Linked DNA regions of Xenopus tropicalis. The protein of the gene in region 1 purifies or fractionates together with the protein of each later gene. This does not show direct contact. Links are inferred from orthologs where the notes say so. Each region holds a gene or a part of one and is shown in the gene's direction. Other genes may lie near its edges.

Region 1 (3,520 bases):
AATGTTTTTCTAGGTAAACTAAAAGTTTCCCCTGGGAATATGCCCTTAAACTGAGACGGCCCCAAATGTTCAAAAACATCGGTCACTGAGTGCAAATAAAAGGCAAAATTCTGCTGGCATTTTAAAGCTTAAAAGTCCCAATGCCAATTGTACTTTTATCCAAAAAGTGTAGATTCTGTGATCCATGGTAATTTAAGGCATAATTGCATGATTAACTTAACATATTATGGATATAGTTATATAGATATGGGTTCTGTTTATAATAAATACACATACTATATATAAATCTTAAAATTCCCTGTTGAGTGCGGAGCTGTGTTTCTATTAATTTTGCTTCAAATGCCCAGGCAAGCTGAGGCACTTAGCACTCAACATGACTTTAAAGAATATATTTTGTTGGTTGCCAAGGTAGCCCAATGTTTCCGTTACTACCTCTGCTTTTATAAATAGTGTAGTGTGCTTATTTTGGTACAGCCTGTGTTGTATCATGGATAGTGCACAGACCTGATTACCAATAAGATCAATGGGCTTGTGCATAGCCTTAGTTAGAAGGAAGTTACACTGCATGCAGCTGTTGGGAGGATGCTTTGCATTCAGCACAGGGGAGGGCTGGACATTGCCACTGGTTTTGTGACATACGTAACAGCAAGGTGTTGCCACTCCCATTCAGCAATGACCTGAACTGGCTATCAGAGAAAAGGTCCTAACTGTGTGCAATATTTTTTATTCTATTTAGGAAAGTAAATGTGTTTATACAGTCATGGTCAAAATTGTTGGCACCCCAGAAATCTTTCCAGAAAATCAAGTATTTCTCACAGAAAAGTATTGCCGTAACACATGATTTGCTATACACATGTTTATTCCCTTTGTGTGTATTGGAACAGAACAAAAAAGGGAGGGAAAAAAGCAAATTGGACATAATGTCACACAAAACTCCAAAAATGGTCTGGGCAAAATTAGTGGCACCCTTAACTTAATATTTGGTTGCACACCCTTTGGAAAAAATAACTGAAATCAGTCGCTTCCTATAACCATCAATAAGCTTCTTACACCTCTCACCGGGAATTTTGGACCACTCTTCCTTTGCAAACTGCTCCAGGTCTCTCTTATTGGAAGGGCGCCATTTCCCAACAGCAATTTTAGATCTCTCCACAGATGTTCAATGGGATTTAGATCTGGACTCATTGCTGGCCACTTCAGAACTCTCCAGCGCTTTGTTGCCATGCATTTCTGGGTGCTTTATGACATATGTTTGGGGTCATTTTCCTGCTGGAAGACCAAAGATCTCGGACGCAAACCCAGCTTTCTGACACTGGGCTCTACAGTGCGACCCAAAATCCTTTGGTAATCCTCAGATTTCATGATGCCTTGCACACATTCAAGGCACCCAGTGCCAGAGGCAGCAAAACAACCCCAAAACATCATTGAACCTCCACCATATTTCACTGTAGGTACTGTGTTTTTCTCTTTGTAGGCCTCATTCCATTTTCGGGAAAACAGTAGAATGATGTGCTTTGTCCACAAGACGTTTTCCCAGAAGGATTGTGACTTACTCAAGTACATTTTGGCAAGCTGTAGTCTTGCTTTTTTATGTCTGTGTCAACAGTGGGGTCCTCCTGGGTCTTCTGCCATAGTGTTTCATTTCATTTAAATGTCGACAGATAGTTCGCTCTGACACTGATGCTCCCTGAGCCTGCAGGACAGCTTGAATTTCTTTGGAACTTGTTTGGGGCTGCTTATCCACCATCCGGACTATCCTGCCTTGCAACCTTTCATCAATTTTTCTCTTCCGTCCACGCCCAGGAAGATTAGCTACAGTGCCATGGATTGCAAACTTCTTGATAATGTTGCGCACTGTAGACAAAGGCAAATCTACATCTCTGGAGATGGACTTGTAACCTTGAGATTGTTGATATTTTTCCACAATTTTCGTTCTCAAGTCCTCAGACAGTTCTCTTCTCCTCTTTCTGTTGTCCATGCTTAGTGTGGCACGCACAGACACACAATGCAAAGACTAAGTGAACTTCTCTCCTTTTTATCTGCTTTCAGGGGTGATTTTTATATTGCCCACACCTGTTACTTGCCCCAGGAGAGTGTAAAGGAGTATCACATGTTTGAAACAATCTTGTTTATCCACAATTTTAAAGGGTGCCAATAATTTTGTCCAGCCCATTTTTGGAGTTTTGTGTGACATTATGTCCAATTTGCTTTTTTCCTCCCTTTTTTGTTCTGTACCAATACACACAAAGGGAATAAACATGTGTATAGCAAAACATGTGTTACTGCAATATAGAGCTGGGCGGTATGACCAAAAATTTATATCACGGTATTTTTCAAAATTATATCGGTATCACGGTATTTGACGGTATATAAATAAAAAATAAATAATAAATATTGGTGCCCCCCCCAACCACAACCCCCCCCAACCCCCCAGTTAATTTATCTATTTTTTTTGGCTCAACTAAGAATCGGCGTCTCTGGAGTTAACTAATTCAGGCAGTGCCTAGAAAATGCATAGACAATGTAGTTGTTGCCAGGCACACACACAACCCAGTGCAGACTTCTAACCCCCCCCCCCCCCCCAGTTACTCTGTGTCAAGTCCTGTCAGAAATTTCACATTGACCTAATACTCTACACACCAATGGAAAAGCCCCAAGGAATAACTGAATATGCAGGCAGCTATCATTTGTTTTTCTTATATATAAATTAAAATGTTATAGTAATCCTGAAGGGATCATCTTAAGGAGGGTGACTACTTCTACTTTGTATTTTTTAGGAAAATGGATATGACGATCGTAATCATTTAGCAAAGGAGCTTGGGATTGTTGAATCTGAAGGTGTGAAAAGTGGTCCACTGGCACTTGAGCTTGTCAGACGATGCCATCAAAAAGACAAGATTATAAGTGGGGGAGAAGTAAGTAACTTTTGCTAACAAAGTTTCTTAGTAAGCAAACAAGTTACTAATGGATGATTAAGTATATGGTGTTTGTTTTATCAACATTAACAAGGGTCCGGTCCTGATGCAATATACCCTTGACTACATAAAGCGTTTTGTTACTTTTGGCAGCCATTTTTGTTTTCATGATTTGCTCAAACGCTCATTCATCTAGTATAGTATCAGTGGATTGGAAGAAAGCCAATGCACTTCCAATATTTAAAAAGGAAAAATATTTTAGACCTGGCCTGTAAATGTATCTGCTTTGGAAAAGTTATACAGATATGGGGCCCTTTATCCAGAATGCTTGGGACCTGGGGTTTTCCGGATAAGGGGTCTTTTCATAATTCTCCTACCCTAAGGGGCACATTTACTAACCCACGAACGGGCCGAATGCGTCCGATTGCGTTTTTTTCGTAATGATCGGTATTTTGCGATTTTTTTCGGAAATTATTGCGACTTTTTCGTTACCAATACGATTTGCGCGAAAAAAGTCGCGATTTTTTCGTAGAGTTAAAACTTGCGCAAAACGTTGTGCCTTTTAAGTTTTAACGCTATGAAAAAAATCGCCAGATTTTGCGCAA
Region 2 (3,520 bases), on another chromosome or scaffold:
GAAAATTAAATTGCAAAACTGCTCAGAAAGTTTATATTGTGTTAAGTTTTTTTGGGTATTGCAAAATAAAATATTTTTTAGCATGTGCCTAAAGTTATTACCTACTGCCATCATATTTCACATTCCACTTTATAGGGATCGTTCATCCTATACATCCTATACATTACTTGCCTAGGTGACTCTTAAAATCTAGGTCACATTCACACACACTATGGTCAGTCTTATCAGGAGTTAACCTGCCTGTATGTGTTTGGAGTGTGGGAGGAAACCAAAGTACCTGAAGGAAACAAATGCAGACAAAGGGTGAACATGCAAACTCTTTGATAATATCTGAGGAACATCAAGAATTTGGTGTTATAAAAAGCAAAGTGGGCAAGGTTTAATAAATTTTTAATAAATTCATGACAATCCATGAGTTGTCTGCAGATATATATGAAAGCAGAAGAGGTGATCTATAGTATAGAAAAAAATCAAATCAATATTATATTATGGGCAAATTCTAGATTTTCATAAATGTTGAATAGAGCTAAATTGTATAACCAAAGCGAAATTAGGTGGTGCATTATCTTAATAGCTTAACATGAAATCAAGTCATCACTCGTTTTATGCCACTAGAGGGTAGTCCTGGTCTGTAGAGACAATTCTTAAAGTGAAAAGTATTGCCATTTTAAACTATTATGATATTCTCCTGCAAGGTTTTTCCTTTGTGTTTTTGGCATTAACCTTGTATGTTATAGAATTCCCATAACACTGAACTGTGTGGTGCAAACAGTTTACTCAGGATGCTTTGGATTAATAAGATTCTTTTCTTTTGAATGGGTCACTATGAAAGTGTGACATTGTACTGACTGAGAGGGTGAGAATGTTGTGGTGCAGGACTGCACACATACATACATGTTGCTGCTAATGTTCATAAAAAAATGGCAACAAATGGAAAGCTGCATACTTTTTACTGAAATAATTTTCACTGTGCGTTAAAAGGACAAATAAATACTGACATTACGTAGACAAACTTACAAAAGCTATGCTTCTGCTACCAAACTTAAATGTCCTGTCAGCAGAAACTTACCTTTACCCTGATTTTATTTCAGCATTCTTTGACTTTGTCCTCTTAAGATACAATAATTGCTTATTTAAGCATTTTTTATATGTGAGTAATTAAAGTGCCAGTAAAAAAATAACATTAAAATAATAATCATTTATAGACCATATTTGTGAATAAAGCTGTCTGGGCTCACAAAGGAATAGATCGGGATCCTGGCTATTCTAAAAGTCTGCAAGCTTCTCTCTTTTAGGGTTTAAAGGAGTTGTTCACTTGAAATTAACTTTTAGTATTATGTAGACATTGATATTTTGGGACAATTTGCAATTGGTTTTCATTTTTTATTTTTTTTGTAGTTTTTCAGTTATTTTGCTTTTTATTTAGCAGCTCTCCAGTTTAGAATTTTAGCAGCTGGTTGTTAGGGCCTTGCTTACCTTAGCAACCAGGCAGTGGTGTGAATGGAATATGAATTGAAGAGGGACTAAATAGAAAGATAAGGAATAAAAAGTAATAATAAAAATAAAATTGTAGCCTCAGAGAGCAATAGATTTGTTCATTGCATATACCCATTTATTGTAGACCACTGCAGAATATGTTGGTGCTTTATAAATACGTGATAATAATATTATGGCTTGTGTTCCTACCTGTTGTGAATAGATATGGTGATTTTCCAATTTTTCCACAGAATAACAGAGAAAATACAATTTGAATCTATTCCCATTTAAATCCTTCTTCTTTTTAGTCATCAAGGGAAAACCCCTTGTTACTTGACTGACCATGTTTGGGCCTAATAGGAAGTTAGCTGTGTCCTGCTCCATACATTTCTAGGGTCACCTTGGTGACTACACAAAAAAAGGATTAAACAGTGAATTGGGAAAATCCATATTTTCTTCATGGCATCAGTATTTTTTGTATAATAGGTTTTATCCTTTAGATGTGTTGAACGTAAAGCCATATAGAATTCAACTTGATTTAAACCTTTTGTAGCAAATGCCAATTCACATGTTTAATGTAATGTTTTATGTTTAATGTACATGCAGTTATTTCTGTTTTTTTCTATTTAAATGTGTTTAATCATTCAACTTCTGTACTTAGGCAGATACTGCAGTGAAAGTGATTATGGATAGTGAAACCTCTTCAGAAAGTGAAAAATCTGACAATATTTTGAGTATCCTTGATCAAGAATATGCCGTGCCTGGATCTGGTGAAAAAACGAGTGTAAAAAATTACAAATGTCTCCAGGTACCAAGCAGCTAATGAGGCCAGTTACATAAATGTATTTTCATGATGTATGTTATGGTAGGCTACATGATTATAAATAAGTCTGTATGAATGTATTTATTTTCATAGAGTACATAAATGTTGGTTAATGCATGACATTTAAAAAGTTAAATTTTTTACTTTTCATTTTAAAAAGCAGTTTTATTTTCATGTTGTCTTCTTTACACAGAAGGCATAGAAAAGACTATTCCTTTTTAACAAACTGTCAGAAGCACTATCTGCAGTTGTATATAATATTTTACCTGTGCCAGGACACGCAATTTGACGGCTTCAGCTCTCAAGTTATAAAATGGCCTGTCCACACTGTTTAATGGTAATTTCAGGGAAATTATATGGATGAAAATAATTATTTATAACTTGGCATTAAACTTTTCTGCTAAAGCAGAGTGAAATGGATTCATAGGATCCGATCCTAGTGACTGCAACCTCACTGTGTGCCAGTAAAGAACATTCACCACAGAAATGCTGTGCCTTGTATATCAATATTATATAGTACAATAATAAACTGGGTTGATTGTCTTTGTGCCCATAGTCACAGGGGACACACATGTTTTATAATTTGTTTTTGATTTATTTATTTTTTGCTCTATATAATGGATCCCTAAAAGACATCTGATGTTAGTGTTAATGATTTACTTTCTGGGGCAGTGCCTTTGCTGAGCCGGCACAGCTAGAGGACTAGGAAATGTCCTGACCAAGGTGCCAAACTTACATACTTAATATTGGCAGGTTGAATTGCAGATATGTCAAAAAAATTTAAATGACGAAAGAAAAGCAAGATTACGGGCTGATGAACGGATAATGGAGGTACAGTAACCTAATAAACAGATTTTGTTCTTCCCCTAGGGAAGTCTGGGGCAGTGAAGCCATGAATATGCATAAGAAATAATACCTTTTTTGAAAGAAGTATTAGAAGTCCTAAAGGCACGATAGCATGAATTTACCGGACGCTAATATACTGTATGCATGAACACTAGTAATTGATAATTGATTCCAGGTAATCAAATTGCTATACTTAATCTACTGGCCAATGCCTAGTAAATTAAAAAAAAAAAAAATGCACCAGCCCAGGGAAAAAAGTTACAAAATTTGGCTTGCCTTTCTCAGGTATCCTAAGTGCAGATTTAGGGGCTGATTTACTAAGACACGAATTCGAATCCGAATTGGAAAAATTCCGATTGGAAAACGAACATTTTG
Region 3 (3,520 bases), on another chromosome or scaffold:
ATAATCTCTTCAGTCCTTTTAATGAAAACAGTTTTATTAAACGTTGCAATAAAACAGCACATTTTCATTATATAAAAAATGCGCACATTCTTTTTCTCTATAGGCACTTCCGAAACTTGTGCTCAGACGATACTCCCATGGTGAGAAGAGCCGCTGCTTCCAAGTTGGGGGAGTTTGCTAAAGTTTTGGAGTTGGAAAATGTGAAGAGTGAAATAATTCCCATGTTTTCCAACCTAGCATCTGATGAGCAGGTAAACTGATTGCAGGTCTTGCCACATATATTCTACGAGAATGTCCTGAATTAGAACATGTATATGTGTGTATATATATATATATAATATACATGCCGCCATTAAGCAAACTGAAAGCTTTTATTGCAGGTGAGGTTCTAACAATCGACTTCAAAATATCTAAAGACTGAAAACAGTTTGCAACTTTAGACACGGGCAGAAGCATTATTTATTTATTTTATTTATTTGTGATCGTTTACATATACTGTACATTACTTTTGTAAGGTTATTTTAATCTATTAACTGATTGATTGTAGCCATGGAAATATATATTTAAATAAATGTGTGTCTGCATGTATGTCTATATCTGTCTATAAAATATTATGGATTAGCACCCTCGTGTGAAAATTGTAATTTATGTACTATTGTACAGCATCTGTGCCCAAAGTTTCTGGGACCCTTTCTGTGAAACTTCACATATATTACATACTTAAGTGCTTTCCCCTAATAATGGTAAATTGGAACCAAATGGTATCGTTAATGAATTATTGAACTGTAAGTGCTTTTCAGTCCAGAAGTTGATACCCTATTTTGCCACAAGGTGTCACTATAAATGTTCAATCATAGTTTATGATACAAATTACTTACAAATTTAAATTATACTTTCATACACACACTTTCTAACTTAGTACCAATACTGTACTACTATACTCCGATATTTAAACCGTTGTTTATGCTTGTTTCTGATTTTTTTTGTTGTTTGTAATTCTGGCTTTTCCCAGGATTCAGTGCGCTTGTTGGCAGTCGAGGCTTGTGTAAACATTGCTCAGCTTCTACCCCAAGAAGAGCTGGAACCACTGGTTATGCCCACACTGCGCCAGGCAGCTGAAGATAAATCTTGGAGAGTAAGATACATGGTGGCAGACAAGTTCACAGAGGTAAAACCTTGATTAAAATTACAAAAAGAATTTGGCTGGGGTTTTTTATCCTTAAATTTATGTTAATGTTTACAAAGAATTAGATCTACTTTAGGTGTTTCACTGTAGCTGTTTTGAGCCTAGACTTAGTAGGAAGTGGCAGTGGACTGGCTGCTGTTGGGATCCTAATGTGAAATTTACCACTGCATAAAGCAGAGAACAGTAGTTTACGCTTTTCTCTACCTTTAACTCTTGCCTAGGGATGCCCTAAATCTGCCACGAAAGCTATGGCTAAATCCCGAACTGAATCAAAATTCACATACGTAAATTGGCTAAATTATGGAGGGTGACATTTGTGGACAAAAATTTGTCAACCTTTGGTCTGGCATTGTGATGCTTTTTTAAATATTCACAATAGTTAGAATTTGGGTTTGGTTTGTTCAGGCACTCATTCATCTAAATCAGGGGTCTCCAACCTTTCAATCTGCAGTGCATGTATTGTGATACTTACAAGCTGCCACATCATTGTGGTAACTACACCTGTACCAGTTGCCCTTATAAATGTTTTCTTAAAGGTTCTTTGTATTCTTCCTCTGAGCTGCCCCAAAAACTATTGATTTACAGAAGGCAGATTTATGTATATGTATAATCAAGTGCACTTTGCCAAAATGTATCCCTGTGGGATACATGTAGGACTAATTTAGAAGCCTCTTCCTAGAAAAGCTAAATATATTAAAGACACTACAATTTTTGCCCAGATGTCTGTCATTTCCAATTTAGAATATTCAACACCCAGAATTAGGCCAACGTCATCTATGGCAAATGTGCTGTAAATGGATTGTTCCATCCAAGGAATATTCTGTGAGCTTGCAGTTTTATCTTCAGAAATATATGAATTGTATCTAACGCCTTTGTTAAAGTTGTCTCGGACAAGTGTTTTTATTTCCCTGAGAAACAGGTATTTTAAATGAATGTGTTTTTACCCTGTATTTGGATCAGGTCCCTTGTCAAGTGGATCTATCTTGTGAGTTTGTAGATTGTAAGCTCTTTTGGGCAGGGCTCTCTTCACCTCCTGTATCGGTTATTGATTGCTTTATATGTTACTCTGTATGTCCAATGTATGGAACCCACTTATTGTACAGCGCTGCGGAATATGTTGGCGCTTTATAAATAAATGTTAATAATAATAATAATAATAAAGTCTGTCAAACTTCATAAGTTCATAGTGCCTCCAGTGCTAATATTTCTGTTTGTCTTTTAGCTTCAGAAAGCTGTTGGTCCAGAAATCACCAAAACAGACTTGGTTCCTGCTTTCCAAAACCTGATGAAAGACTGTGAAGCCGAAGTACGAGCTGCTGCTTCCCATAAAGTTAAAGGTTAGAAATCAAGTATTCTAGTCAGGACCATATGTGTATATATAGTCAACCTAGGGGGCAGCCTATATAGAAAAAAAAAATGCTACAAACACCCCCCCCCATCCACTCTCTTTCAATGTATATACATAGACTGTCCTGTGCATTCATGGATCAGGATGGGCAGGGGGCCCAGTGCTAAGGGCATTGCCTGAACTAAATACAGGCCTGGTTGTAATATGTATTATTGCAACTTGCTATATCAAAGGTATTCAAACTGGCAAATATATGGGGGATTGTGGTAACCGAGTGTTAAAATAGGAACATCCTGAATGTCATTCATGTGACTCACTAATCACGTGGCAAATGTTACTGACTGTGCAGTTAGCGTTGGCATTCAGCAGCTTTGTTATTTATAACTGAAAAGGAAAGTGGAAATGGAATCCCTGGAGTACAAATGAGTTTCCCTGTACAACATGACTGCACCTCCCATGCAGCTAATTTGCTCCTTGCTGTCAAACTAGTTGTCCTTACAATCTTTCTAAATTCCCAATCCTGTTCCTTCAGTATAAACTATAATTTGTGACACATTCCTAATACTATCTCAGAGGTCACTTATAGTTTTAGAGTGTGTCCCATCTGATAAGGAACGAAAAAAAAATCAATGAAAAATTTGGCCTGAATGGCCTTGTGGAAATTGCATTATATATCAGAGTAGCATGGGAATCCATAGAAACGAATCTGTTGCAGTTATTAGCCCACATTGTCACTATGGTGCTCTAGAACTTTCACAGGTCTGGATTTTTTGGACTGATCTTTTAATCAAAGACAAGACCTTGAAATGGAGGAAGACATTTATTTTTTTACTTATATCTTCTGCTTATGCCCTATTTTAGAATTCTGTGAGAACCTGTCTGCCGACTGCCGCGAGAATGTAATAATGACACAGATTCTGCCTTGTGTCAAGGTATGTTCTGTTCTATCACTCTTCCTATATTTATTTAGGGGCCCATTCATTAAA

What was found.
Region 2: the proteins of fgfr1op (region 1) and cep78 purify together in Homo sapiens (affinity purification with mass spectrometry; 3 studies listed by BioGRID and IntAct, with this or other methods). This does not show direct contact. The link is inferred for Xenopus tropicalis from reciprocal best matches to the Homo sapiens genes CEP43 and CEP78.
Region 3: the proteins of fgfr1op (region 1) and ppp2r1a purify together in Homo sapiens (affinity purification with mass spectrometry; 5 studies listed by BioGRID and IntAct, with this or other methods). This does not show direct contact. The link is inferred for Xenopus tropicalis from reciprocal best matches to the Homo sapiens genes CEP43 and PPP2R1A.

Annotation. Positions count from the first base shown.
Region 1 is NC_030681.2:56,955,809-56,959,328, reverse strand, and holds part of fgfr1op (FGFR1 oncogene partner), read left to right. Parts: intron 1-2,777; coding exon 2,778-2,915; intron 2,916-3,520. UniProt on the Homo sapiens protein: Required for anchoring microtubules to the centrosomes. Required for ciliation.
Region 2 is NC_030677.2:132,571,626-132,575,145, forward strand, and holds part of cep78 (centrosomal protein of 78 kDa), read left to right. Parts: intron 1-2,137; coding exon 2,138-2,284; intron 2,285-3,052; coding exon 3,053-3,130; intron 3,131-3,520. UniProt on the Homo sapiens protein: Centriole wall protein that localizes to mature centrioles and regulates centriole and cilia biogenesis. Involved in centrosome duplication: required for efficient PLK4 centrosomal localization and PLK4-induced overduplication of centrioles.
Region 3 is NC_030683.2:120,827,984-120,831,503, reverse strand, and holds part of ppp2r1a (serine/threonine-protein phosphatase 2A 65 kDa regulatory subunit A alpha isoform), read left to right. Parts: intron 1-103; coding exon 104-251; intron 252-1,012; coding exon 1,013-1,168; intron 1,169-2,408; coding exon 2,409-2,523; intron 2,524-3,395; coding exon 3,396-3,466; intron 3,467-3,520. UniProt on the Homo sapiens protein: The PR65 subunit of protein phosphatase 2A serves as a scaffolding molecule to coordinate the assembly of the catalytic subunit and a variable regulatory B subunit.